Linked DNA regions of Mus musculus. The protein of the gene in region 1 binds, or shares a complex with, the protein of each later gene. Links are inferred from orthologs where the notes say so. Each region holds a gene or a part of one and is shown in the gene's direction. Other genes may lie near its edges.

Region 1 (3,950 bases):
ATTATTTTGAGTAGAAAGTATTAAAATTACCCCTGAGTCACCCTGGTTGGCTTTCCAGCATAAAACAGACAAAATCATTCGAGAGTTGTGTGAACCTTTCTGCCCAGACCTTGGACTAAGAATGTACCTGGCTCTGATTAGCTTAAAATAGACAAGGTATAATCTTATTTGGCTGAAATCTCTTTTTAGGGGGAAGGGAAGGTTCGAGATAGAGTTTGTGGCCCAAACTTGGACCACCATGCCTAGCTATGAAATAACGTTTCCCCTGTTTTATAACCCACATTACAAGGACCTCTGCTTTTCTTAATGTCCAGGCCCATTGTTCTGTTATAAGTCACCCTTAAGCTGCACACTGCAATTCTGGACTTGCCTGCCTCTTTCTTTGGTCTCATTGATCCTTGGGACCAGTTCCCATACATGGGGACAGGGGTGTTTGTTGACAAAATCACGTTCCATGTAAGCAGTTTTGGAGAGCGCAGAAAGCAGTTGTATTTCCTTGCTTTTAGACACGATATTCTCTCTAGAGCCATAAATAATAAATTATAGAATCAAATGATAATAAACTAATATCATCCAAATTCTTTCAAAATTATTTGCACTATGTTTGTAATTAGAGACAAATGTATATGTTGAGTAACTACATTTAACAGTGTGGTTATTGCAAATAAGGTGTTGAATTTTTTGTTTTAACTTTAACTGAAATATCCACATACATTTTTTTAAGTCGAAGGACTTGCTATATATAAAATTTATTTAAAACTCTGTCCTGAGAGTGGTTTTTCTAGTTTTAAGAAGGTACCCTGCATCCCCAAAGGAAAACCATTCTGTCCAAAGATTTGATTGGCTTAGCTTAATGTCAAGCCAAGTAAGGACATCTTGCAGGACCGAGTTCCCTGCTTCCAACATGTGAATCCCAAGTATTAAACTCGAATCTTAGTGGGCTTCTTTCAGAACTTCTCTTCCTTTAACATGTGAAAGTTCCAGGCCTTCACAAGTAGTTTTAATAACTTCGTAACTGGTCTAAAAAAACCTGCAGAAGATGTCGTCCACCAGCCCTCCCGCCCTCCGAAGGTGCAAAGCACTCCTCCCGTCGCTAGGGGCCGCTGTCGCCCTCCCGGTGGCCGGAAGGCAGCGCAGCTTCCGCGTTCTCGTCGCGCGTCCGCAGGCCTCCGCGCGCTTTTCCGGCCATTCATAACCCCAGTCCGTGGATCTCTGGAGCCTGAATTCTGTGAACAGTCGGGCCAGAAGGGAGAACTGCGTCGCTAGGATGAAGCTCGTGAGGTGAGGAGGGTACCCCCGCCGGGCGAGGACGACGGGTAGAGGATTTGGGGTCGGCTCGGGAGGCCGGGCCGCTGTGCTCCCAGGGAGGCGGGAAAGCCGCGTGCGCGCGGCCTGCTAACGGCCTCAGGCCCCCGGGCCCCGCCGCGCCCTGCCCGCCGCCCAGAGCCCGGGCGAGGGGCCAGCGCGCAGACCCCGCCGGTCTTCCAGGAATGGAGGGGCCGAGCCGCCTCTGCCCACCCAGTATCCGGCAGCTTAAACGGAGCAGTGGCCCGTTTTCTTGGCGAATCGGACCATTTGCACTGAGGAGGACTTAGTAGACCTAGCATGGTTTTATCTGCAAATGATGACGCCGATTTGCAAGACGTTTTAGACTAAGATCTCCTTAAATTTGACCAGTTATACGAAGTATGTAAGTGGTTAGTGTAGGCTTCTAACTCAGGAAAGACAAAATGTCCTAGGATGGGGCAGAAGGTAATAAATTAATTTCGCCTGCATAGTTAATATCGGAAGTGGAGCCTAACTAGAGGCATGCTGGTTTAATTCAAATGAACAGGCTTGGGTCAAGCCTGAGGCAGGTTATACAATATCAAGCAAATAACTAGAAATATTTAGTTTCTTGTTGAGTCAAGACTGTTGTAGTTGGCCAGAATGGCATTGAACACCTTCTGAAGTAGTTGTACATAATTCACAAGAATTCTTTTAAAACATTTTTGAAGTTTTTTTAACGGTGACTCATAGCCTGCTTGAAATTGGAAAAAAAAAAATTACTTCAGGAGGAATTTGAGGGAGAAGGCATTTAAGGTTAAAAAAATTTTCCCCTGTTCTGGGGATGGCACGCAGAGAGCTTCTAATAGTCACTTAACCTTGAGCTCAGCCCCAGTTCATTTGTATTTGGACTGTAACCTAGGTAGAATGCTAAGACTTGCCGTTTCTTTACTCCCTGATATGAACTATAATGTATTTACAGTAACATGTTCATCTCATTTAAAGGTTCTATTATGATAACTTTGCCAGCATCCTAGGCAGGTGCTCACTCTCCTGCTGCTGCTGCTTTGATTTGTCTTGGACCCTATTTTGTATAGCGCAAAGTATAGAGATTTCTAATTACAGGAGAATTTTTTTTAAAGATGTATTTATTTTATGTATGTGAGTACACTGTAGCAGTACAGATGTAGCAGTTGGGGCCTTCATGTGGTTGTTGGGAATTGAATTTTGGACCTCTTCTCGCTCTGGCCCAAAGATTGATTTATTATTATAAATAAGTACACTGTAGCTGACTTCAGAGGGTGTCAGATCTCATTACTGGTGGTTTTGTGAGCCACTATGTGATTGCTGGGATTTGAACTCAGGACCTTTGGAAGAACAGTCAGTGTTCTTACCTTGCTGAGCCATCTCGCCAGCCCCCAAGGGAGAATGTTTTTTGCCCTGTGAAAATGGTTGACTGGTTTGCACTTTTGGTGTGGGCTTTCTTATTTGTGCATGAGTTTTGTATTGGACTGTATTGCCTGTATTTATCCCGTTGCCACCTTGCCCAAACTTAGGAAGTGTGCTTAGCTACCTTTCTCTTAATCCTCCTGGCGTCTGGTAAGTTGCCAGGTTTCTTAATTTTTCTAACTGGAGATACTTCTCACTATCCAGTTCTCTTTGGTTTTCTATTCAAATAGGAAAAATTTGGGTACTAAAAGGACCCCATACACTTTACTGTTTGATGTGCCAGTCTCATTAAGAAAAGAATTCACAGCTAGGTGATGGTGGCCCATGCCTTGAATCCTCACACTTTCTCTGCGTTCAAGGCCAGCATGCTGTACAGCGGGAGTTCTAGGACAGCCAGGGCTACACAGAAAACAAAAGTAAGAAGAGAATTCACAAAATGAAGGACTCACTGGAAAATAATTTGAATTTATGTGTTCCTTGGCCTCTTTTTACTTTTATATTGAGACAGGGTCTCACAAGTTGTGCTGCCTGACTTGAAATCACTCTATCTCAGCTGACATTAGATTGAGAATCATCCTGCCTCTGCCTCCTGAGTGCTGGGATTAGAGGCCTTCACTGCCACCAACCAGCATCTCTAGATAGCATAAGGGAATTTTTGTTTCGTTTTGTTTTGTTTTTCGAGACAGGGTTTCTCTGTGTAGCCCTGGCTGTCCTGGAACTCACTCTGTAGACCAGGCTGGCCTCCAACTCAGAAATCCACCTGCCTCTGCCTCCCAAGTGCTGGGATTAAAGGCATGACCACTGCCTTGCTCATAAGGGAATTCTTCAGCAGAATATTTTCTTCACAAAAGGACCCTGTTCTCCCCACCTCCTCCTTTCTGAGTGCTGGAATTAAGTCTTTGCCACCGTGCCTGGCAAAATACTGTTTGTAATGTAGTAGTTTAAGGTTGCTGAAACGTTCAGCCTGTACTTGGTGTGTGTTACTATAGAAAAGTCGTGCTACTTACTTTCTCATGGGAGAATGGAATAGGTAATATCACTCGTGTAGTTTACTGTAGTGGATGTTATAGGAGTGCACAATGGATATTGTAGAAAAATAAGTAGACTGGAAAATCTGAATATGAAGTGTTATTAGATGATATTGTAGATTATCATTCCATTGCCATTTGGCTAAAATAAAGCATGAGTGATAATGTAGAATTCCTGGTGGGTTACATTCCTGAATATTAATAGAG
Region 2 (4,097 bases), on another chromosome or scaffold:
CTTAAAAAAAAAAAAAAAAAAAAAAAAAAAGTTTTACATTTTATTTGGGGGATGTGTAGTGGGGAACTTGCCATGGTAGACAAGTATTTATTAAGTACTTAATTGTATGAGTGTTACTGTAAGTATAAGCACTAAGCGTGTGGTGGCTATTCCTGGTTATCTACTTGACTATATTTGGAATGAACTACAATTCAGAATTGGAAGGCTCACCTGTGATCCTAATCTGGAGGCTGAGATATACAATTTCTGACCTGGATCTTGGCACGGAGATCTTGAGGCATAGTGGCTATAAATTCCAGAAAATTAAGACTGGGGGATCTTTGAGTTGAAGGCTTGGTGGCACACACCTTTCATCTGGGCCACACCTTCTGCTGGAGACCTACATAAGGACATTGGAAGAAGGAAGATTCTCTCTCTCTTCTCCACCTGCTTGTCTTGTGGGACTGAGCAACTGCTAGATCCTTGAACTTCCTTTCATAGCTGCTGCTGCCCATTGTTGGGACTTGGACTACAGACTGTAAGTCATCAACAAATCCCCTTACTATACAGAGACTACCCATAAGTTCTATGACTCTAGAGAACCCTGACTAGTACAAAGCCTAAGTTAACTTTTATGAATACGGTAGATGATACTACAAGTACAATAAGGAAAAAAAAAAGAAAAAAGAAAAAAAAAGTGGGACTCTAGAGCGTCAAGTATCAAAATTAAATAGGGCGGCCAGAAAGGCTTCTCTAAGGCTAATTTGAGCACAAACCCGAAGTAGAGTGGAGTGCAAATCTTGTAGTTTTCTTAGTAAAGAGCCATGCAAGGCAGAAAGCGACAAGCGAGAAAGTAGTCTGGTTTCTGAGGCTGAGCTAGCAATTGGAATACTGTTATCCCTAGAGGTTAGGAAGTGAGGCAGGTTTTGGTGTTTCATTGGCGAATGGGAAGCCAGGGGATAGCTCTGAATCTGTTCTTTTTTGTTGCCTGGTCTCTGGTATCGATTTTAAATTAGGGAGGCAAAGTTAAGGGAGGGCAGCTAATGCTAGAGATCACAATTTTTTTTTTTTTAAACTAGAAAGGACACTTTGAGTACGAATGTGGACGTCCTTGCTTTTAGTTCTAAGTGATAATCTTAGCGCACTAACTCTTTGGACCCGAGGGAATGTGATGCCAACCGATTTCTGCTCCGGGAAATAATGCCCGAACTAACGTTGGCATCGCTCCGGGACAACCCGCGGACTAGGCTTTAGGATCCCGCGGCGCGTGCGCCCCGCGGCCGGCACCTTGATACCGCGGCTGCGCAGCTGAGGCCCCGCCTTCCGTAGTCACGTGCCGTAGGGACCGCAGCGTGGCGGTGTGTGGCGGTAGCGACGGCGGGCCGTAGGGCAACCGGAAGGTTTCCGGTTCCGGTGTAACGTTCGGGCTCCGTCTCAGGGGCTGAAGTTTGTGAGGTGAGTAGTGGCCCCGCGCCCGAAAGGCTGTAGCCTTCGGTGCGAGCGGCTGGACAGGGCGGGAGTGCTCGGCGGGAAGCAGGCTGGGAGGACTCCCTGGTTCTGTCCGGGGAAGAAGTCAGAATGGGCTGGCTGAAGGCAAAGGGCGGGGGCGGGAAGCAGCAGGGTGGGCAAACCTGCCCTGAGGTGAGGAGTTAGCGCGGACTCGGTGGGGCCGGGGCCAGGTGGGAAGATAGCAAAGACCGGAGCATGGGGTTCCAGGGGCTTGTAGCGTAGAAAAGTAAGGAATCCCTTCGGAAGATGAGATTCTGCTACCTGCTCATTCAGAAGACAGCGTTCTGCCTCCCTCCCCTTCCCCTTCCCCTTCCCCTCCACCCCCCAGCCCCCCACCGACGCTGACGCCCCCTCGCTATTAGAGTTGAACATCTGGTTAGTGACAACTCTACTGACTGAAACTTTCTTATCCATTGACTGTTTCGTTTGCACATTCGGGTCGAATTTGAAGACATCCATTTGTTAGTATATTTCTTGAGCTTACATCCAATATGCTTAATATGCTTCACCTATTACTCTGGATTTTGAAAATTGCTTAAACTTTCTAGCCTATTATTCAATTGTAGTGGGTTGTAAGTCCCATTAACATGAGGATTCTTGGCTGTTTTGTTCACTGCTGTGTGTGTCCTTACATGCAGTAAGTATTCTGCTTGACAAGAAATAGTAACTTAAGTATTTATTGAATGGAGTGTTATACCAGATGTCTCATTTTCTAAGATAAGTATACTGAGGCTCTCGGGAATTAACTTGCTTTCCTAAGGGCTTATGAATGGTGGTGCTTACTATATTCTATCTTAAATGGGCTTTCTTCTCCACTTTTAGTGCCTGTGGTTGCTTTCTTTTTGATAGGCAGTATACTGCTATCTCATGATGGCCCAAAAAAGCTATCCCAGGATTATTCATAAAAGTTGTCACTGAGAAACAGCCTTCCAGATTCATTCAGATGTATTAAATACTGTGTATTGACAGATCTTATGAGAGAGAAATCTGTCAAGAATGTAGGAGCTAATTAGACTGCATCTTTTTTTTTTTTTTTTTTTTTTTATGACAAGGTCTCATGTAGCCACCGGTGATGTTGAACTCTGTAGCCAAGGCTGGACTTGAACTCCTGATTCCCCTTGTGCTGGGATCACAGGCTTGTATGATCATTCTGAGGTTGCATTTTTTAGATGTCTTTAAACATCTTGAAAGAGTAATTCCCAGATCATACTAAGATGCATGGCAGTGCTAAGAGGAGGTCTTATGGGAAGTTGAGGTCGGTGCAGTCAATAGATTGACATGCAGCCATTAGGAAGAAAATCAGAAATTAAGTTATCTTTATGCTGGTGAAGATGTTGAGATTTAAGATTACCCAAATGTAAGCATGAATAGTGTTGAAATTTTTCTCCAACTGTGTTAAGTAATAAAAAAATCATGTTGGTGTATAGAATACTTACCAGCATGAATAAAACTACAGAGAAAGGTGACAGCATTCTTAAGGATTATGAGATTTAACACAGGAGGACTGACTTGAATAAACCCTCTTCTTTGAATCCGTTAGACAAGTTTTAGGTCAAAGTTAGGTTAGAGAATGGCTTCCAGAGCAGAAGTTGACTTCTAGATTGACTCTTCAGATGTTCTGTTTGCCAGTCTTTTGTGTGACAGGGTCAGAGTTAGAACCCATTCCTCAGATTACGTTATTCCTAGTTTGTTCATTCTTTAGATAGCAATGATGACTGATGCTGAGTTAGAATTAAAATATCAAATGAGTGGGGCATGGTTGTATGCTCCTAGAATTTCTCACTGGGCAAGTGGAGACAGGAGAGTTGCCAAGTGTTGAGTTCTGTATGAGCTACATTGTAAGACCGTATCTCAAAAAAAAAAAAAAACAAAAACAAAAACTAATGGACCCCTTCCTTCTGTTTTGAAGCTTGGTTTTAGGGAATGTATTTCCCTTCATATGAAGTGGAGAGATGTGCTTGGGGTTGAAAATAGGAATGGGGAAAAGCACTCTTATTATGCTATTATCTTGATTGTTTTGTTTTCCTTTTCTCTGACTCTTGCTTGGTTTCTTTTAGGTGTAGTTTTTTTGTCCCATTGGAGCTCTCATTCTCCATTTTCTCCGAAATGGCGCTGTCTAAGCGGGAGCTGGATGAGCTGAAGCCATGGATAGAGAAGACGGTGAAGAGAGTGCTGGGCTTCTCAGAGCCCACAGTGGTCACTGCAGCCTTGAACTGTGTGGGGAAGGGCATGGACAAAAAGAAGGCGGCTGGTGTGTACCTCTCTCACTCTTCTGACGTATAGTGATTCCAAACACTGATTTGAACTTCCCCAGGTTGTCCCTGTTAGGAGCATTAAAGGAAAGGTGGTGCTAGCCCCCTTCTCCTTTTGTTATTTGCTTGTTTTGAGACAAGGTCTCCTGTGTAGTTGTGTCTGACTTGGAACTCCTTAGAGATCCACCATCCTCTGCCTCCTGAGTGCAGGGGTTAACAGTGTGCACCACTCCCTCCTCCCCCTTTTTTATTTAAAAGACAGGGTCTCATGGAGCCCAGTCTGGCTTCCAGCTCACTAGCTGAGGATGGCCTAAGACTTATGAGTCTATTTCCTCTACATCAGCAGCTCTCCAGCTG
Region 3 (3,500 bases), on another chromosome or scaffold:
TTTGCCATGTGTGGGTCGCATGGACACTTGTCACTATTTACTGATTTGATCTCTGGGCTGTCTTTCACTTCTAGGCCGTCACTCAAAGGGGGTGGCAAAGACAGTAACGAAGCAGCGGGTGGAGTCGCACTTTGACCTGGAGCTCAGGGCTGCTGTGATGCACGACATTCTGGACATGATGCCTGAAGGCATCAAGCAGAACAAGGCCCGGACAATTCTGCAGCACCTCAGTGAAGCCTGGCGCTGCTGGAAGGCCAACATCCCTTGGAAGGTAGGCTCTCCTCCACCTCCAAGGAGGCCTGCCATTCATTCATCCTTCTGAGGTTAGGAGTACCACATCCTCACAGGACTGTCCACCTTCTAATACCCCTCCTTCTTGAGACAGTCTCACTGTGTTGTCCTGGCTGAGCTGGAAGTCTGCAGGCCAGGCTGGTCTCAGACTCAAGAGATCAATCTGCCTCCGCCTCCATGCTGGGGTGCAGGTGTGGAGCACTATGCTTGGGTCTTAGTACTCTTTCATTGTGTCTGTACCTGCAGGTCCCAGGACTGCCAACACCTATAGAGAATATGATTCTTCGGTACGTTAAGGCCAAGGCTGATTGGTGGACCAATACTGCCCACTACAACCGGGAACGGATCCGTCGCGGGGCTACTGTAGACAAGACTGTTTGCAAAAAGAACCTGGGCCGCCTCACTCGCCTGTATCTGAAGGCAGAGCAGGAGCGGCAGCACAATTACCTGAAGGTTGGGACAGCTAGACTGGGTGTGGGGGCTGGGTGGTGAGGTGGACTGCAGAGTGAGGATCAGGCTTTGTCCTGGTGTGGACAGTAGTGGGAGACTAACCTGACGTTCACCTTCCAGGATGGGCCTTACATCACAGCCGAGGAGGCAGTGGCCGTGTATACCACCACTGTGCACTGGCTGGAGAGCCGGAGATTCTCGCCCATCCCCTTCCCTCCACTCTCCTACAAGCATGATACCAAGCTGCTCATCTTGGCTCTGGAGCGTCTCAAGGAAGCTTATAGGTAAGGGGTGGCTGGTGGGTTCCTGTTGGGACGGTAACAGAGAGAATGGCATCGTGGTCAGAGTTCAGAGGAAGGTGTAGTTCCTTCTGGTTTAGCATCTCATTCACTTTCCTTTTGCTTTGTCAGTGTGAAGTCTAGGTTAAACCAGTCTCAGAGGGAGGAGCTGGGTCTGATTGAACAAGCCTATGACAACCCCCATGAGGCTTTGTCCCGCATCAAGCGTCACCTCCTCACACAGAGAGCCTTTAAGGAAGTGAGTAATATGTTCCCTCCGTTTTCTTTTGGTCTGTGCTCTTTATTCCTGGCAGATTATCTAGTGGGTGGCAGATTGGCTTAGGTGAATTGATGTGAACCAGGTTCCTCCTCCCACAGGTGGGCATTGAGTTTATGGATCTCTATAGCCACCTTGTACCAGTGTATGATGTGGAACCACTGGAGAAAATAACTGATGCTTACCTGGACCAGTACCTGTGGTATGAAGCAGATAAACGCCGTCTTTTCCCACCCTGGATCAAGCCTGCTGACACAGAGCCACCTCCACTGCTTGTTTACAAGTGGTGTCAAGGTACAACTTTGCTGGAGTTACTTCTGTATAAACATTCAGGCTGCATAGTCCGTTTTATTGCATAAGAGTGAGTAGTACTGCCAGATGGTGGTGGTTCTATGCGTCTTTAATCCCTGCATTCAGGAGGAAGAGGCAGGCAGATCTCTGAGTTTGAGGACCGCCTGGTCTACAGAGTGAGTTCCAGGAGAGCCAGCACTACACAGAGAGACCCTGTCTAATAAAAAGAAAGAATGAATACTACTGTTGGGATGGGTGGATGGATGGATGGATGGATGGATGGTTTTGGAATGTGTTGAGAGCTGCTGAGGTTACTAGTCCTGAAAAGAAATTTTTAATGTGCCATATCTCCGACATTTTTCTTTTGTAGGCATTAATAACCTGCAGGATGTGTGGGAGACGAGTGAGGGCGAGTGCAACGTCATGCTGGAGTCTCGGTTTGAGAAGATGTATGAGAAGATTGACCTGACCCTGCTTAACAGGCTGCTGCGACTCATTGTGGACCACAACATAGCTGACTACATGACGGCCAAGAACAACGTAGTCATCAACTATAAGGTCTGTCCTAGAGCAAGGAACAAAGGAATGTGTTGAGGGCATGTCTGACCCAGGGAGTTAGGATTTGCTGAGGGAGATTGGACCCTGAAGTGCTTGGGACACAGTCAACCCTAGTCATAGCTAAGAATTGTGGTTCTCTTTTTTCCTTTTTCCTTTCTAGGACATGAACCATACAAACTCATATGGAATCATCAGAGGCCTGCAGTTTGCCTCATTCATTGTACAGTACTATGGCTTGGTGATGGATTTGCTTGTACTGGGATTGCACCGGGCCAGTGAGATGGCTGGGCCTCCTCAGATGCCAAATGACTTTCTCAGTTTCCAGGACATAGCCACTGAGGCTGCACACCCAATCCGACTCTTCTGTAGATACATTGATCGCATCCATATTTTCTTCAGGTAATGACACACAGCTCATTTACCCAACAGGGCAGGGAGCCATGCTCTGTCTGTGCAGTGGCTCTTGTAGCTTAGTTGATTAATTGCTTTTGGGCTATAAAGTAAAATGAAGCCTAGTGGGGAATAGGGTCCCCACTGTGGAGCTAGAGTTAGTTCTCAAAGGGTCCTAGTATATTTGGAGTTCGACCGTGTACCTTGTCTTAACGTAGGTTCACAGCAGATGAGGCTCGGGATCTGATCCAGCGTTACCTGACAGAACACCCAGACCCCAACAATGAAAACATTGTTGGCTACAATAACAAGAAATGCTGGCCCCGAGATGCCCGAATGCGGCTCATGAAGCATGATGTCAACTTGTGAGTCTCAGCTGGGTTTGTGGAATCACGAGGATGTTAGTCCTCAATTAGGACTGAGGAGGTTGTGCCTTGGGGGGAAGGAATATAGGCCTGTTGGGCTATCGTCTACCTGGTCTTTGAATGTGTCTTCAACAGACTGAAGTGCCTCTGTGTTCTCTGGATAGGGGTCGGGCAGTGTTCTGGGACATCAAAAACCGGCTGCCACGATCGGTGACTACAGTACAGTGGGAGAATAGCTTTGTGTCTGTGTACAGTAAAGACAACCCCAACCTGCTATTCAACATGTGTGGCTTTGAGTGCCGCATCCTGCCTAAGTGCCGTACCAGCTATGAAGAGTTCACCCACAAGGACGGGGTCTGGAACCTACAGAATGAGGTACAGTCCAGGAAGGACATCCTTTTACGACCCCTGTAACTCTGGAGTCAATGGGTGGAGAACAGTCATAGCTTCTCATTATCATTAAGTGGGTTGGGTTTAGTCACAGTTAATCCTTGCTTGTTTAAACAGTGTCTCTGTAACACTGGCAGGCCTTGAGTTCACTTTGTAAACAAGACTGGCCCTGATTGTCTCAGATCAGCCTGCCTCTGTCTCTACCTCCCA
Region 4 (3,500 bases), on another chromosome or scaffold:
GGAAACTGGGGGGCAGCCAGAGTGTACCCCTCAAGAGGCTGTTATTAGAAGAGCCCACGGGTATGAGGCTTACCTCCCAGAGTCTGGGGTATGGCTGCCCTAGATGAGGAGTGACTATTGTAGTGGCTGTTACCTTCTCTAGAGGTTCAGTTTCCTTTCTCCTTGCCATTGCTCCAGGATCTCCGGCGGAAGGCGGCCCGCCTAGTGGCTGCCAAGTGTACACTGGCAGCTCGTGTGGACAGCTTCCATGAGAGCACAGAAGGGAAGGTGAGGAGAGGACAGGCATCTGTCCCTGGTGCTTGGGGTCTTTTCATGGGAAGATGCTACTTCAGAGACCTCTTCTGACTAGCAGACAGATGTGTCTGTCTGCAACCCCTACTGAGGCCATCACATTCTCAGCTCTGTATCAGTTATGACAACTCACTATAGATGGAGTAGCTTCATATAAAAGTTGGCTAGGCCTCTTTAACATCAATACTTGAGAGACAGAGGTGGGAAGATCATTAGTTTGAGGCAGTCTGGGTTATATAAGTTTCAGGCCAGACTGGGCTGCATAGTGAAATCCTGTGTTTGAAAAGAAAAAAAGCCCAGGGCTGGAGATGCGGCTCCATCACTTCAGTTCCTGCATGCAAGCATGAGAACTTGAGTTCAATTCCTAACTCAGGTTAAGGGAAAAAAGAAAGCAGGCAGAGTACTTCACATCAGTAACTAACCCCAGCTCTGGGAAGGTGAAGGCAGGAGGGCATTTGGAGCTTGTGGGCCTGGCAACCAAATCAGTAAGTTCCAGTGAGAGACCCTGTCTCAGGAGATAGGTGAGGTGTTGGTGTAGAAGCCATGATACCAGATCTTTGGCTTTTTGTGCAAAGATCCTCTGCCATGTAAAATGTAGTCACAGATCCTAGAGACCAGGACACCTGACACCAAGGTGTAGCCCTGTGTTGGAAGGGACAGTATTTTGCCTACCATAGTAGGACCTGTCCTGTACTAGCAGGGACATGATTCCAGTGATACCATCTATTTTTCTGTGTGGGCTTAAGAAACAATACTGTGTGCATTTCCCTGCTAGAAATTACATCATAGCCCAGGTCAGAGGTTCAGTCTTTGGTTTTGCCTTTTGCCACTTTCTAAACAAGGCAGTACAGCAGGGGGTTATATAGATGTCAAAGGTCTGCCTCAGTGGCTTTTGTGTGTGTGTGGTGGGTATACTGGGATTGAACCTAGGACTCTACGTGTTCTAGACAACTGATCTGTACCACTGAACATACATCTATAAGATCTATACATCCTCAGCTCACCCTCACCCTTTTGTGAGACATGTCTTATCTCTAGTCCAGGAAAGCCTTGAACGAGTTTTGATCCTCCTGCTCCAGCTGCTAGCTAGGATTGGAGGTTGCTGTGTCACACAGCATTTATGTTCTAGCTGGGACCAAAACAACTAGGCAGTAGTTCTGAAAAGTCTGTAGTGGGTTCAGTGGTGCTTTGTGAATGCCAGGGGCAATCAGGGGGGCTGTGGGGTTAGGAAGCTTAGACTCTGATGACAGAGAATGTGAAGAAAAACTTCTGAGGACGTTTTAATTTGGGCTTGAGTGAAGTTATAGTCAGTCGTGTGGCTACTTGTGCTATCCACTTGGAAGAGTGCTCCAGACAGAGTGAATAGTGAGTACAAAGATCTTGAGGCCAGAGTTGAGTGAACCCCAGCAGGGAGAGGAGCCTTCTGCTTCCAGGAGCAGATAATGTGTACAACCTTTGAGGGCCTCTGGCTGCTGTAGAGGCACTGAGAAGCAGGCTAGCTGGGGTCTGTTCTAAGAGGCCAGGGGGATCTGTGGTGTGGAAGTAAGGCAGTGGAGATGACACGCTGTCTGTTGACTAGAGAATACAGGGATTCTGCCTGGCCCAGGACTCAGACAGAGACAATTATCCAGAGGGTGCAGAGCTTAGATATGAGGACTGAACCTGAGCTACAAGTTCAAGGAGCACTAGGCACTGGAACCCACAGAGCACCATTCCTGGACAAACGTGAAGAACATGTCTTGGGGAGGGCACACTGTCAGGTGGTCAGATACACAATAGATGGGTTGATGATATATAGATGTTGGCTGAGGGGACAGTTTACATGGCTGGCCACCGCTTCTCAACTCCCCCCTAGGTGGGCTACGAACTAAAGGATGAGATTGAGCGCAAATTTGATAAGTGGCAGGAGCCACCACCCGTGAAGCAGGTGAAGCCCCTGCCTGCACCCCTTGATGGGCAGCGGAAGAAGCGAGGGGGCCGAAGGTAAGGAGTTCTGATGGGGCTAGACGTTTGGAAGTGGGGAAGGGAAACAACTTCTTCCCAGCCAGCTCCCTATATCCTGTTAACACCCACTTGCCCTAGGTACCGCAAGATGAAGGAACGGCTAGGACTGACGGAGATCCGGAAGCAGGCCAACCGCATGAGCTTTGGAGAGGTCAGGCTTGATCCACAGTACCAGTGGGACCATATTAGGGTCTTCTCTCTGCACATCCTGCTGCCATCCCTCCTCCCCACCCTGTAATCTGAGAGCAGATCTGGGGCTACCCAACCCTCCTCCCTCTTGTCTAGCCTCTCCTCTTAAACCACCTTCTCCATGGTGATCTTTGCAGCTCTCAGCTGGCTGGCTTCCCACGCAGCTCTCCAGGCTGCTTCTATATCTGACTGTCATCTAGGTGGTCCTGAAAGAATCCGCTTAGGTGCCACCTCAGTAGCGCGGCTCATCCCAATTCTTGGCAACTTAATGTGGATGTAGAGAAAAAATGGCTACTCTACTCAGGTCAGGAACCAGTTCTTCCCAGGGTTCCTAGCTATACCCAAACAGAGGTAGGATAGGCTCTTGTTTTTGTTTTTGTTTTTTCTTTTCTGAGACAAATGTGAAGCGAGCTTTAATTACATACTGCTAAGGATGATGGACTCTGGCCAATAGGGTAGGCTCTTATTAGGTCACTTAATGCTGCCAGTCCCCTGGCTGATGAGGTGGTGTCCATGAGACTGGCTGATTGGGTTCTCAGGTGACTGCCTCAGGGGACTGGCTGGATGTACCCAGCTTCTTAACCGCAGGTTGCTCTCGTCTCACCAGATTGAGGAGGATGCCTATCAGGAAGACCTGGGCTTTAGCCTGGGCCACTTGGGCAAGTCAGGCAGTGGGCGTGTGCGGCAGACCCAGGTGAATGAGGCCACCAAGGCCAGGATCTCCAAGACACTGCAGGTATGGATTGGGCCCATGAGAATGGGAGGCAGGTGGGATATGGAGGTCAGTGAGCCTGGATCCCAGCCTCCCCTTTCCCTACAGCGGACCTTACAGAAACAGAGCGTGGTGTATGGTGGGAAGTCAACAATTCGTGACCGCTCCTCAGGGACTGCCTCCAGTGTGGCCTTCACTCCACTCCAGGTACCATACCCTTTTCTACCAGGCATATGATAAGGCTGCTGTGGAGATCTGTTGAGATATAGCACATGAGCTTAGGCATCCACAACCACACAGTAAG
Region 5 (3,500 bases), on another chromosome or scaffold:
AGGCTGCAGAGCCACAGATCATTACAGGTACGATCTGCTGCTCCCCCTGAGCCGTACCAGAGGCACGGCCGGCCATTCTGCAGCCGCCGCAAGCACCTCCACCTCCGACCGACTCGCGTTCTAGTTTCTCTTTGGATTTTAATCATGGGCATTTGAAATTTAGGATTGCAAGGTGTTTTCTAGGGTTTTTTGTTTGTTTGTTTATATTTTTATCTTGTGTTTTTTATGTATCATTACATAAAAAGGTTAGGCATTGTAACCTATCATTCTAGTATGAATCTTACTTGAATGACATTGGATCTTAACTGTGACTGGAAAGTCATTCTTTCAGTTGGTTTGTTTTGCTAACTACAGATTTTAAAATAAAAAGATTCATTTTTTCCCCTTCCCTGCCATTGGAGTTTAAAATTACATATTTGTTTTTATTTGCTCTTTATACTTAGCCACTCTCTACCGCCTCTGGCAAAAAGTTAAAAAGAACTAAATATAGAATAACTACAGTTTTAGGATTTTGAGGAAATGATTCACAGTGATAGGACTTTCATTTAGTGTACACACACACACACACACACATACACACACACACAGACAAGTACATTGTGTTTAATGGGTTTTAACTTGTGGATTCTGTCCGGTCTCTGTCTTTTCACTACAGGAAGTCACGATACCACAATACGATTATGGGATCTAGTGGCTGGAAAGACACGAGTGACACTGACGAACCATAAGAAATCAGTGAGGGCTGTGGTCTTACATCCGCTACTGTAAGTGTGCTGTGCTGATAGCTTGCCTTTCTCCGCGTCTCAGTGACGCTGAGGCCAGGGGGGCCTGCTGTACCTCTGCCTGTGCTGCTTAGGACGGCCTTTCAGTTCCCATCTGCTGCTGTTGCCTCGTGCTCTGTGGAATGAAGGCCATAGCCCCTCTACAGAGTGACAAATAAGGCCAAGTTGTGGTTAAAGCTGAATGTCAGAGTAGGCGGGAGTCGTGTCTGGACATACAGGGTACTGGACCCACTTTGACCTGTCCAGATTGTTTCACATATGGTGTCCTGTCAGAGACAGAGCAGAGTTAGATTCCTAAGGGAGAAGTAAGTGTGCAGGAAATGGAGGGAGAGACATCAGCACTGCGGTTCCCAGAGAAGGCAGGCCACTCCTGACTCAGCTCATCCCACACACATCCCCCAACCCTCCCCCACTGCTCCCTGCGCCTTCCCTTTCTTGTCCCCTTCCCTTCCTTTCCTTCCTTTTCTCTTGTCATCCCTCTCTTTCCTTCCCTTTCAAGATTTTTTTTGCCCTGTGTGTGTGCACATTTGTTGGGCTAATTAGTGTGTAACACACTAAAGAAAACAAAACACTGCTCTGGGATCTAAAGTAGTACATCTCAGCAGCTGGACAAGGCTGGTGGAACTTGGAGCGAGGATAGTGATGAGTTTGTACTGTGGTGAAGTTACATTTTACTGAGGCTGTCTGGAGCAGTGAGCACACAGAGCTTTTTCAAAGCTGCGAGTTTTCTTTGATACAGTGTACTTTCCCATTAATTCCTGTCAATCTTTGTTCTAGTTACACATTTGCGTCTGGTTCTCCAGATAACATAAAGCAGTGGAAATTCCCCGATGGAGGCTTCATTCAAAATCTCTCTGGTCACAATGCAATCATTAACACGCTGGCGGTCAATGCTGATGGAGTGCTTGTGTCTGGAGGTAACACAAGGTTTCTATGGTGTGTTGAGTGTGCCCTTCTGTTGATGTGAGTGAGTTAGTATCTAAAGCATCACACTGTTGTAGTGACACACCTACTAGGGTGTATGTGCCTGTTTGTAATGTGCCTGCCGTCGTGCTCAGTGGTGTTCCATGCAGCATGTTGCATAGTTTAGACATCTTTGCATTCCCATGTGATGAAGGTAGGGATTTACGCTAGGAACTGCCTGATGTTTGGTTGGATTTTAAATGTTATGGTGTCTATAAATTAGAGACTTAGAGGGAATTAGAGAGAGAGGGAGGGAGGGAGGGAAAGAGATAGTGTGTGTGTGTGAGTGTGTGTGTGTGTGTGTGTGTGTGTGTGTGTGTGTGTGTGTGTTGCTGGTGTAATGTTCAGCTCCTGGGTCATCTGAGCTGTTGAGGGGATAGAAGTAGAGCTGTGTGTTTCCCTTGCAGCTGACAATGGCACCATGCACCTTTGGGACTGGAGAACTGGCTATAATTTTCAGCGCGTCCATGCAGCTGTACAGCCTGGGTCTTTGGACAGTGAGTCAGGAATATTTGCTTGTGCTTTCGATCGGTCAGAAAGTCGGTTACTAACGGCTGAAGCTGATAAAACCATTAAAGTTTACAGAGAGGATGAGACTGCGGTAAGTTCTTAGTGTCCATCTCTGTCTGTCTGTCTGTCTTCCTATCTTCCTTCCTTTTTAGTTTAATTTAATTTTATATTTTATATTTAGAGACAAGGTATCACATGGTACCTCTGGCTGGCCTGGAACTCACTTTGTAGCTCAAGTTGATTTTAAACTTGAAACTGTCTTCCTGCCTCTGCTTCTCCGATGCTGGGATTTTGGGCATGAGCCAGCACACCCAGCTTTCACATGCATTTTAAAGTAAAAGAATTGCATGTCAATTTGACAAGGACTGCTCATTTGAGTACAAAAAGAAACAGACTCACTATAGTACCATCAGTTTCATCCTCTGGATAGTGATCTGACCTGCTCAGGGCTTCTGTGTGGTTTCATTGATGCAGACACATCAGTGATAAAGCATTACGTTTTAAGTACAGTTCTGCCTCAGTACAGTTCCTGGGAAGGAAATGATACATTAATCGTGGCAAACAGGAGACTGCTGAGGGAAGGAGGGTAGAGGTAGAGCGCTGGGGTTGCTGTAATAGCTAAATGGAAATCCAACCGAACCCATGTATCCCTGGTCAAACTTGGATAATGCCAGAAGTTTGTCAGCTGTTTCTAAAATTTTTCAAGAGCCACTCAGCACGTCCTGCCAAGCAAGTACTATGATTTAGCAGAGACAGATCTTTTCATTGAAAGGAAACAAACTAATAAAATCACACTTTGTTTACTGTTCTGATTTTAGACAGAAGAAACTCACCCAGTCAGCTGGAAACCAGAAATTATCAAGAGAAAGCGATTTTAGTGTCTTCATGGCTGTCCTGTTCGTGCTTGGTGTTGATGAGGATATCCGGTCTTTCATGAAAGCTCACTTGCAGAAAACATTGCTGCTTTGTATTTTACAATAAACTGCTCCCATGTCCCTCACCTGTGTTTTATTTCTGAAATAAACAGTTTATAGTTTTAGAAGTAAACGGTAAATATAAAGAATTCAGGCATGTTGAGGATTGTTGTTCCTAACACTATTTTGACTGGGTTTTTTTTGTTTGTTTGTTTGTTTTAGTTTTGGTTTTTATTTTACATGTATAGGTGTGTTTTGCCTGCATGTACATTTGTGTACAACATGTGTGTCTGGTGCCGATGAAGGCCAGAAGAAGTTGTCAGATCCCTGA
Region 6 (4,261 bases), on another chromosome or scaffold:
AAAAAAAGTGAAAAAATGTTTCAAAAAAGACCTTAAGCTGGGCAGTGGTGGTGCATGCCTTTAATCCCAGCACTTGGGAGGCAGAGGTAGGCAGATTTCTGAGTTCGAGGACAGCCTGGTCTACAGAGTGAGTTCCAGGACAGCCAGGGCAATACAGAGAAACCCTGTCTCAAAAAACCAAAAGCAAAAACAAAACAAAACAAAAACCAAAAAACCTTAAAGGGTGTAACAACCAGGGCTGGAGAGATGGCTCAGTGGGTAAGAGCACTGACTGCTCTTCCGAAGGTCCTGAGATCAAATCCCAGCAACCACGCCCTCTTCTGGGGTGTCTGAAGACAAGTATAGTGTACTTACATATAAGTATCTTTGGGCCGGAGCAAGCATGAGAGAAGGAAAAGAGGGGGGGGGGGTAGCAACTGAATGCCCTCCAAAACAGAGGCAGAAGGGTACTTGGTAAAAGTGGTATAAGAGAAGCCAGCCTTTACTTCCTGGTCTTTGCTACCAGCAGTGGCAAACAGCATTTTAAATAGGCAAAGCCCCATACGATTTACTAGCCTAGAGACCCATCCCATGGGCAAACAACAATCCCTGAGACTGTTGTGCTTGCAGACAGGAACCTCGCATGGCTGTCCTGAGAGACTCCACCCAGGAGCTGACTCAGGGATGCAGAGACCACAGCCAAACATCCGATGGAGCTTGAGGACTCCTGAGGGCCTCCGAGGGGATTGGAACTCCACAGGAAAACCAAGAGTCAACTATGACCCTTGGGGCTCTCAGAGACTGAACCACCAACCAAAGAGCATAGACAGGCGGGACCTAGCCCCCTCCCACACACACACGGTCTTTCATGTGGGTCCCGAACAACTGGAGTAGGGGCTATCCCAAAAGCTGTTGCCCTGCTGTGGAATTCGTTTCTTCTGCTTGTCTGGACTCAGTGGGAGAGGATGAGGCCAGCCCTGCAGAGACTTGATGTGCTAAGGTGGAGGGAAAACCAGAGGGGGTCTCTACCCTCTCAGAGGAGAAGAGAAGGAGGGGGTGGGGAAACCGGGAGAGGCGGCAGCACTGGGGATGTAAATGTGAATTAAAAAATAAAAAATTTTACAATCATAAGAAAATAAATAAAATTACATTTCCAGCACCCGACTGAGCCAGGCTACAGTAACAAACCATTTTAAAATATGGAAGGTGACTCAGGGATCCTCGGCTCATGAGCTGTGACAGGGGACACCAAGTGTGACTGCTCAGGACATGCTGTCTGCAGAAGATTCATTTCTATTGCACTAATACAGTCATGCAAGTGGGGAGCCCACAGACTTTGACAAAGATGCCTGCGTTTCCTCCCCTCAGCTCCGACCAGCTCAGCCAAACAGTACCATTCCCAACAACCTCAGCGCGCGCCACACTTCCGGGGCGGGGCGCAATCGCGGTCCGTTTCCACTGCGTCTGCGCTCCGGATGAAGTTCGCGGGACCTGCCACCGGAAGCCGGGTTTCTACTTCCGGGTCAAAGCCATGGCGGTGGCAAATTCAAGTCCAGTCAATCCAGTGGTCTTCTTCGATGTCAGCATTGGCGGCCAGGTGAGGTGCGGGCGACCTAGCGGCCCGTGCGGGCTGGTTGGCCTCGGGTAAGGGAGGCAGCCCCTTATAGCCCTCCCGAGACCGGCTGGGCCAGGCGGCGGAGGGAGGTGGGAGCTTTCGAGCTTCGTGGACAGCGGTCGTGAGCTGAGTGTTGCGTCTCCCGTTTCTTCTGCAGGAAGTTGGTCGCATGAAAATCGAGCTCTTTGCAGACGTGGTGCCTAAGACGGCAGAGAACTTTAGGTAAGGATATGCTCCAAGTGAACCAGAGCTGAGCCCGAAGCCGGCCTCCAGTCGGTCTTTGCCATGTCTGCCTCTGTCCATCTATTCATTGCCTTGCAGCTCTGTGGTCTGGGTATTTCACTGGCCAAACAGCTACCGGCTGTGACTGATCCCATATCAACTTCTATCACTAGTCTACCTGCCCTGACATCCGCCCGATCAGTTAGTTGGCGGACATACTGGCCCCAGTGTTTGAACTCTCCTCTCCAGAGATTAGAGGTGCTTCAAGCAGTGATCGTACGAAGGCTAAATCGTTTGCTCTCTCTTTCCCTTTAGGCAATTCTGCACCGGAGAGTTCAGGTCAGTCTCAGATGTGTTTGATTTCTCTGCCTACTCCTGAAGGGGTGCCCTGGATGTTTGGTGAGGGTATTGGAGAACCATGAACAGGTCTTAAGTAATGGAAGATGATATGCAGAGAGAGGGTGACACCTTGAATGGGTTCTTTCTCTCTCTTTTTCCCCCTCCAGATCTTAGTGAGAGCCCTTTTAGCCTCTGGTGTAGCCTAAATGGGAAAGGCCCACCATTGTGTTTCCCCATTCCAAGTCTCTTCCTTCTTTGTTTACAGAAAAGATGGCGTTCCGATAGGATACAAAGGAAGCACCTTCCACAGGTAAGGGAGGTTTTTGGAAAACTGGAAATGCAGTCATTGCTTGGTATCTGTACAGGCAGTCCTGCACACCTGAGTTCAAACTCTGTGAGGCTTACGGCTGTTGTTTTAAATGGCATGTTCGCGGCTGAGGCTGTAGCTCGGTGGTAGAGAATTGGCCCAGCATTCATAAGGCCCTGGATTTGGTACTGAACACCATGAAGCCTATGCACAGCGCCTTAAGTCATCCCTGACTTGGTGGAATGCTGTATTGCAGAAACGATGCCAAGGAAAGCATGCTGTACCCTTTCAGTACCTGTTCAGTACAGGTGCGTGGCCACGTGCTCCCAGAGGTCTAAGCTCAGATCCTTAGGCTGCCACAGCAAGCACTTCACCCACTGACCCATCTCCCTGGCGCCAGTCAGGACTTCAGCAGAGGCTTTGCTAGTTACCGTTGCTAGGCAGTCATCTGTAGGAGCCTGGCTTTCATGATATATTTACTTATTTTTTGTTAGAGTTTGACAGAAGTTGCTCTATTCTAATCCTGAAAATGTCCATGTCTCCCACATAAGGGCTTTAAAGCTACAGTCTGTAACCCTCCCTAGCATTCTTGTGAAGTAGTATGTGTTTTCCGAGTTCTTCAAGGAAGGCTAAGCAAAGCGAAGGGCCATAGCTGGTGTACTAGCTAACACCATCAAGTCTCTGTGTGTGCAGTAGTCCATTCACCTAGATTTGCTGTTGTTCTTTTCCCCCAAATTGCAATAAGCCCTGGACATGATTTTTTCCTTTGGTGACTGTTGGTGATTCTAGCCTGGTTTCAGCCCCTTCCTGATGTTCAGGTGCGAACTCACGCATCTAAGATCAACTGAGTTAAGACTGTACTTGCTCGCCCTTTTCTAAGCTTCAGTGATTAATCCACTGAATCTTTTCTCAGGATTTTTTTTTTAACTGTTTCAGGGTCATAAAGGATTTCATGATTCAGGGTGGAGATTTTGTTAATGTAAGTACTGCTTCTTTTCTTTGTTATTTTTTTCTGGCAGGGCCCTAGTCTTGAGACTTAAGAGCAATAGCTAAGTTAAGTGGAGAGGGCATGGGATGTACTGTAGAGTTGCTGGCTACCACTGACTGTGTCCTTAGAACACATAACAATACTCTACTGAACCATAAACTTCCACTTTCCAAACCCTAGCTGTTTGTAACTAGAAACTGGGCTTTGCTGGCATACCTATAGGTGATCTGAGACGGTCCACATTCATTGTTCACAGAAAACTTTGAAATTGACTGCAATTTTTCCCTCAAAAGGAAGGGAGCTGACTGCTTTTGTCTCCCATTTTTCCTTCCACATCTGCACATCTTCTGTCACTGTCTAAAAACTCTAGTTTTTTGTTGGATTGCTCTGGGGGGGGTTAGGGGCCGGTCTTTCTTTCTCTTTTCCTTTTGAAAGCTAAGGTATTAATCACAAGCTGGTTAGCAAGCAAGGGATCAGATCAGGAGAGACAGGAAGTTTAAAGGGTGTTCGCTTGCTTGCTGAGGTAGCCCAGCAGATCCATTCTTCACAAAAAGACCATGACTGTTGGTGTCTCCATCCTTCCTTGGAGTGTGTCCAATAAGCTAGAATATCTCTTTCTTAAACCAGCTCTTTCCTTACCCATCCACCTCTGTGCATGCTGTCTCCTTGCTGTTAGCATTGTTTATGTGGGTGTGTTACTAAGTCCTTTTGTCTGAGAGATGGTCTTACTCCATCAGTTGTAAATTTAGTTAGATTTTTGTGAGTCTTTAGAGGTCTTCCTCCTACACAGGGTTGCAATGGCAGGCTTTAG
Region 7 (4,131 bases), on another chromosome or scaffold:
GAAATATGAGCACACACACACACACTAAATAAATAATAAAGACTAAGAGACGAGCTAATGCGTTTGTGTGCTCCTGGCAAAACTAGTGATCAATGTGGAGTCTGGTAACCCTGAATTTAGTGCCCTTAGGCTATGCTAGCATAGGTAAGGGCTCTCTATTAATGATAGCCATTGCAAGTTTCCATATGCCACATTCAGGAAGGGCTAACAGCAGTACAGAAGTACAGTCGAATCTGAACAAGTTGCTTGGGTTTGAGTTGTAAGCAGAGTTCAATTCTTTTTTCCCTCCACACCACTAACTAGTTCTCACAGCATAGGCACTCCATTAAGCAGGAGGCGGGATGTCAAACCTCTGCTCTTTAATCTTTGAATACCCCAGTATCAGGAATCAGAATTCCCACCCAACTACAGAGTCTCTTCCTGTCCTTTCTGATTCCTGACTCATTTCATTTATTTTGACAGGCTCTCATACTATAGCCCAGGCTGCCTAGCCTGGAGCACATGGCAATCCTCCTGCCTGAGTGCTGAGCCAGAGCTCAGATTCATTCTTTTAGTATTTCAGCTAAATACACTCTTGCATCTGTCTTTAAAACACCTCCCAAAAACTGGAAAAGTACGCCGCTATGTAGCATTTAAAAACAAACAAACAAACAAACAAACAAAAACTTGCCAGGCATGGTGGCGCACGCCTTTAATCCCAGCACTCGGGAGGCAAAGGCAGGCGGATTTCTGAGTTCGAGGCCAGCCTGGTCTACAGAGTGAGTTCCAGGATAGCCAGGGCTATACAGAGAAACCCTGTCTCGAACCCCCCCCCCCCAAAAAAAAAAAAACTTAATTGGGATACTGAACTGCCTTGTCCAATCTGTCCCAGATGTTTCTCGCTTAATAATACTTGCCTTGCTGGATTGGACAAAATAAGGAGCTTTAGTTAAATACAGGTATATATGGCGGTAAATGCACACAAACGCATTAGCTCATCTCTTAGTCAACCTTGAGGTTGGTAGAAACAGGGTATTTCACATCATGTTGGCCTTTATTATTTATTTAGCGCGTGTGTGTGTGTGTGTGTGTGTGTGTGTGTGTGTGTATGTGTGTGTGTGTTGGCCTTTATTATTTATTTAGCGTGTGTGTGTGTGTGTGTGTGTGCGTGTGCGTGTGCGTGTGCGTGTGTGCTCAGTGGCTGGTTGGCGGGTTCCACAGGTCTAAATCCTTAATTAAGGAAAATATGTAACCTCAGGACCTGGAATTTAGTTCCAGGCGGCGCACGGGAGCGAGAGGCGCGGGTTGGGCCTCAACGCGCTCCGTAGCGCCCGCCTCCAGGGGCGGGGTTTAAATCGATCCCGCCCCCTCCCGCTCCACGCCGCGGTTGCGAACCACCGTCCCAGAGCTCCTCTGCTGAGCTTGGGCGGCCGCGGAGATGAAGCCGGAGCCGCGGACGCTGCCGCCGTCCCCCAACTGGTACTGCTCACGCTGCAGCGACGCGGCGCCCGGAGGCATCTTTGGCTTCGCTGCGCGGACCTCCGTCTTCCTCGTCCGCGTGGGTCCGGGTGCGGGCGCGAGCCCAGGGGCGCCCCCGTTTCGAGGTGAGCCCCTCACGGGTCGGCGCAGTCCTTCCTGCCGTCCTCTTGGGGGAGTTCTGTAAGTCGCCGGGTCCGGCGGCGCGCGCACGTGGCCTCTCTCGCTTGGAGGGACTGACCCAGCCTAGACCCGGCGTTTAGGGTGCTCCTGGCCTTCCTGCTTGGCCAAGGCCCTGCCGGCCCCTAGTACGCCCCCTGGGGTGGGGGCTGTTCTCCCTTCTCTGATCCCGCTGGGCAATTACTTGACGGTGATGTCTGTAAGATGAGTGGTGATGACACCCAGCGTTTCTGTCTTTCGTCTGTGGATGTTTCTGTTCCATGTGTGTTAAGTGACTTCTGTTTATCTGCTTGTTGTTTGTCCAGCAACATGCAGGCTAACTGTCTGGATAGTGCTTTAGTTAACCAAGTCTGGTTTTGCTTGCAGTGGTAGGAGAGTTGGTGGGACACACTGAAAGAGTATCTGGTTTCACTTTTTCTCATCACCCTGGACAATACAACCTCTGTGCCACCAGCTCAGACGATGGAACTGTGAAGGTTTGGGATGTAGAGACCAAGACTGTAGTGACAGAACACACACTCCATCAGGTAATTGTGCATCCTGAGGCCTCAGATTGTTTTAATAGATCTCATGCATATGGAGGAATGCTACTCATTTTTGTTGGCTACTTAGATATGTTGGAAAGTCTCTCAAATAACTTTTTTTTAAAGATGCATGTTTTGTTTAGAAAGTAGAGTTTCTGGTAGCAGCTGTAACTTGGCTAGGTAGAGTGCCTGGCTAGCACACTCAAAGCCCTGGGCTCAGTCCCCAGAACTGCATAAATGAACATGGTGGTGCACACCTGTAATCATAGCACTTGGGAAGTGGAGGCAAAAAGATAGATAGTCATTCTCTTTTTTATATATATATATGTATATATATAGAGAGAGAGAGAAGGGGGGGGGTGTCAGTTTTTCCAATGTATGCCTGCACACCAAAGGGGGACATTCAGATCCCGTTATAGACCGTTTAAAACTACCGTGAGAGCTCTGGGAATCAAACCTGGGACCTCTTGATAAGTAGCCACTGAGCTATTCTCCAGCCCCTAGTCACTAACTCTTTTTTTTTTTTTTTTTTTTTTTTTTTTCCGAGACAGGGTTTCTCTGTGTAGCCCTGGCTGTCCTGGAACTCACTCTGTAGACCAGGCTGGCCTTGAACTCAGAAATCCGCCTGCCTCTGCCTCCCAAGTGCTGGGATTAAAGGCGTGTGCCACCACGCCCGGCTTAGTCACTAACTCTTATCTGTAGCTGCTTTGATGATATAACAATAGAATTGAGGAACAGCCACTGAGAGCATGGCCTACAAAGTCTAACAGAGCCAATAGGTCCATATAAAATATATACCCGGACTGATAACTGATGAGAAGGCTTTCCAGGTTCAAGGGCCTGTCCTGGAAGCCTGATGACCTGAGTTTTGATACTTTGTTTTATTTTGTTTTCTTTACTTGAATTGTGTATGTGTATTTCGCCTATAGGCCTGGTGTCTATGGTGGTAAGAAGTACATGAAAACTGAAGTTTCTGGTGATTGTTGGTCACCATGTGGGTGCTAGGAACCAAAGCTCTGCAAAAGCAGCAAGTGTTGTTAACCACTGAGCGGTCTCTCCAGCCCCTTGAGCAGTTTAATCTCCATGAAAGTAAGAGAGAACTGGCTCCACAGAGTCTTCTGCCTTCCACATGCTCGGCTGTGGCACATGCTCTCCCCAACACAATAAATAGAAAATATAGGGGCTGGAGAGATGGTTCATCCATTAAGAGTGCCTCCTACTGTCCCAGAGAACCCAAGTCGGGTTCCCATCACCCTTGTGGGTTGGCTCATAACCAGCTCCAGGGAATCCGTTCACCTCTTCTGGCCTGCATAGACACACATGTGGCTTTGCACACATGAGTAAAAAGTGTGTCTGTGCACGTCCATGTCAGTATCCCCAGGCATGGTGGTGCATGGCTGCAATTCTAGAATTCTTGTACTCAGGAGACAGGCAGAAGGATTGCCTTGAGTTCCAGGCCAAAATTACAAAGTAAGACGGTCTCAAAACCACACAAAAAGTTTTAACTTTAGACTTACTATATTGCTATACAGGTAGTTATAGCATATTTCTTAAGTACCTGTAATGTGGGTAGCATTAGGCTGGTTTACAGCCCAACACTCACAAATGAGACTCATCTGGCTTTGCTTTGTTTGAAGCATACAATATCAGCACTGCATTGGTCTCCGACAGTTAAGGACTTAATAGTCTCTGGGGATGAAAAAGGAGTCGTTTTCTGTTACTGGCTTAACAGAAATGACAGCCAGCACCTCTTCACAGAGCCCAGGACCATATTCTGTCTGACGTGTTCACCTCATCACGAAAATCTAGTAGCCATTGGGTGAGTACCGAGTACTGTGCTGTCTGCTGGTGGTTTGGCTTAGTTTATGATCCTGCTTTTCTTTCCTCTTGCCTGTGTGCCTCAGTCCTCAGAGGACGACAGCAGCCCAGGGTGTCATATGATCCTGTGAGCTCCAGTTCCAGACTTTGCTCT

Evidence for each region.
Region 2: Snrpd1 (region 1) and Prpf3 share a complex: the UniProt entries of both Homo sapiens proteins name them as parts of the U4/U6-U5 tri-snRNP complex. The link is inferred for Mus musculus from reciprocal best matches to the Homo sapiens genes SNRPD1 and PRPF3.
Region 3: Snrpd1 (region 1) and Prpf8 share a complex: the UniProt entries of both Homo sapiens proteins name them as parts of the U4/U6-U5 tri-snRNP complex. The link is inferred for Mus musculus from reciprocal best matches to the Homo sapiens genes SNRPD1 and PRPF8.
Region 4: Snrpd1 (region 1) and Prpf31 share a complex: the UniProt entries of both Homo sapiens proteins name them as parts of the U4/U6-U5 tri-snRNP complex. The link is inferred for Mus musculus from reciprocal best matches to the Homo sapiens genes SNRPD1 and PRPF31.
Region 5: Snrpd1 (region 1) and Plrg1 share a complex: the UniProt entries of both Homo sapiens proteins name them as parts of the minor spliceosome. The link is inferred for Mus musculus from reciprocal best matches to the Homo sapiens genes SNRPD1 and PLRG1.
Region 6: Snrpd1 (region 1) and Ppih share a complex: the UniProt entries of both Homo sapiens proteins name them as parts of the U4/U6-U5 tri-snRNP complex. The link is inferred for Mus musculus from reciprocal best matches to the Homo sapiens genes SNRPD1 and PPIH.
Region 7: Snrpd1 (region 1) and Gemin5 share a complex: the UniProt entries of both Homo sapiens proteins name them as parts of the SMN-Sm complex. The link is inferred for Mus musculus from reciprocal best matches to the Homo sapiens genes SNRPD1 and GEMIN5.

Annotation. Positions count from the first base shown.
Region 1 is NC_000084.6:10,616,646-10,620,595, forward strand, and holds the start of Snrpd1 (small nuclear ribonucleoprotein Sm D1), read left to right. Parts: upstream 1-1,150; 5' UTR 1,151-1,267; coding exon 1,268-1,281; intron 1,282-3,950. UniProt on the Homo sapiens protein: Plays a role in pre-mRNA splicing as a core component of the spliceosomal U1, U2, U4 and U5 small nuclear ribonucleoproteins (snRNPs), the building blocks of the spliceosome.
Region 2 is NC_000069.6:95,853,086-95,857,182, reverse strand, and holds the start of Prpf3 (U4/U6 small nuclear ribonucleoprotein Prp3), read left to right. Parts: upstream 1-1,297; 5' UTR 1,298-1,434; exon of another isoform or gene 1,435-1,863; intron 1,864-3,545; 5' UTR 3,546-3,594; coding exon 3,595-3,739; intron 3,740-4,097. UniProt on the Homo sapiens protein: Plays a role in pre-mRNA splicing as component of the U4/U6-U5 tri-snRNP complex that is involved in spliceosome assembly, and as component of the precatalytic spliceosome (spliceosome B complex).
Region 3 is NC_000077.6:75,493,277-75,496,776, forward strand, and holds part of Prpf8 (pre-mRNA-processing-splicing factor 8), read left to right. Parts: intron 1-74; coding exon 75-271; intron 272-537; coding exon 538-744; intron 745-861; coding exon 862-1,025; intron 1,026-1,151; coding exon 1,152-1,278; intron 1,279-1,397; coding exon 1,398-1,590; intron 1,591-1,957; coding exon 1,958-2,145; intron 2,146-2,305; coding exon 2,306-2,544; intron 2,545-2,753; coding exon 2,754-2,900; intron 2,901-3,064; coding exon 3,065-3,275; intron 3,276-3,500. UniProt on the Homo sapiens protein: Plays a role in pre-mRNA splicing as core component of precatalytic, catalytic and postcatalytic spliceosomal complexes, both of the predominant U2-type spliceosome and the minor U12-type spliceosome.
Region 4 is NC_000073.6:3,636,485-3,639,984, forward strand, and holds part of Prpf31 (U4/U6 small nuclear ribonucleoprotein Prp31), read left to right. Parts: exon of another isoform or gene 1-177; coding exon 178-267; exon of another isoform or gene 268-2,146; coding exon 2,147-2,274; exon of another isoform or gene 2,275-2,373; coding exon 2,374-2,446; exon of another isoform or gene 2,447-3,091; coding exon 3,092-3,220; exon of another isoform or gene 3,221-3,304; coding exon 3,305-3,403; exon of another isoform or gene 3,404-3,451; intron 3,452-3,500. UniProt on the Homo sapiens protein: Involved in pre-mRNA splicing as component of the spliceosome. Required for the assembly of the U4/U5/U6 tri-snRNP complex, one of the building blocks of the spliceosome.
Region 5 is NC_000069.6:83,069,038-83,072,537, forward strand, and holds the end of Plrg1 (pleiotropic regulator 1), read left to right. Parts: coding exon 1-27; intron 28-655; coding exon 656-764; intron 765-1,559; coding exon 1,560-1,699; intron 1,700-2,152; coding exon 2,153-2,346; intron 2,347-3,073; coding exon 3,074-3,133; 3' UTR 3,134-3,254; downstream 3,255-3,500. UniProt on the Homo sapiens protein: Involved in pre-mRNA splicing as component of the spliceosome. Component of the PRP19-CDC5L complex that forms an integral part of the spliceosome and is required for activating pre-mRNA splicing.
Region 6 is NC_000070.6:119,317,724-119,321,984, reverse strand, and holds the start of Ppih (peptidyl-prolyl cis-trans isomerase H), read left to right. Parts: upstream 1-1,461; 5' UTR 1,462-1,510; coding exon 1,511-1,576; intron 1,577-1,751; coding exon 1,752-1,816; intron 1,817-2,131; coding exon 2,132-2,155; intron 2,156-2,420; coding exon 2,421-2,465; intron 2,466-3,398; coding exon 3,399-3,441; intron 3,442-4,261. UniProt on the Homo sapiens protein: PPIase that catalyzes the cis-trans isomerization of proline imidic peptide bonds in oligopeptides and may therefore assist protein folding. Participates in pre-mRNA splicing.
Region 7 is NC_000077.6:58,165,740-58,169,870, reverse strand, and holds the start of Gemin5 (gem-associated protein 5), read left to right. Parts: upstream 1-1,331; 5' UTR 1,332-1,417; coding exon 1,418-1,583; intron 1,584-2,001; coding exon 2,002-2,162; intron 2,163-3,796; coding exon 3,797-3,978; intron 3,979-4,131. UniProt on the Homo sapiens protein: The SMN complex catalyzes the assembly of small nuclear ribonucleoproteins (snRNPs), the building blocks of the spliceosome, and thereby plays an important role in the splicing of cellular pre-mRNAs.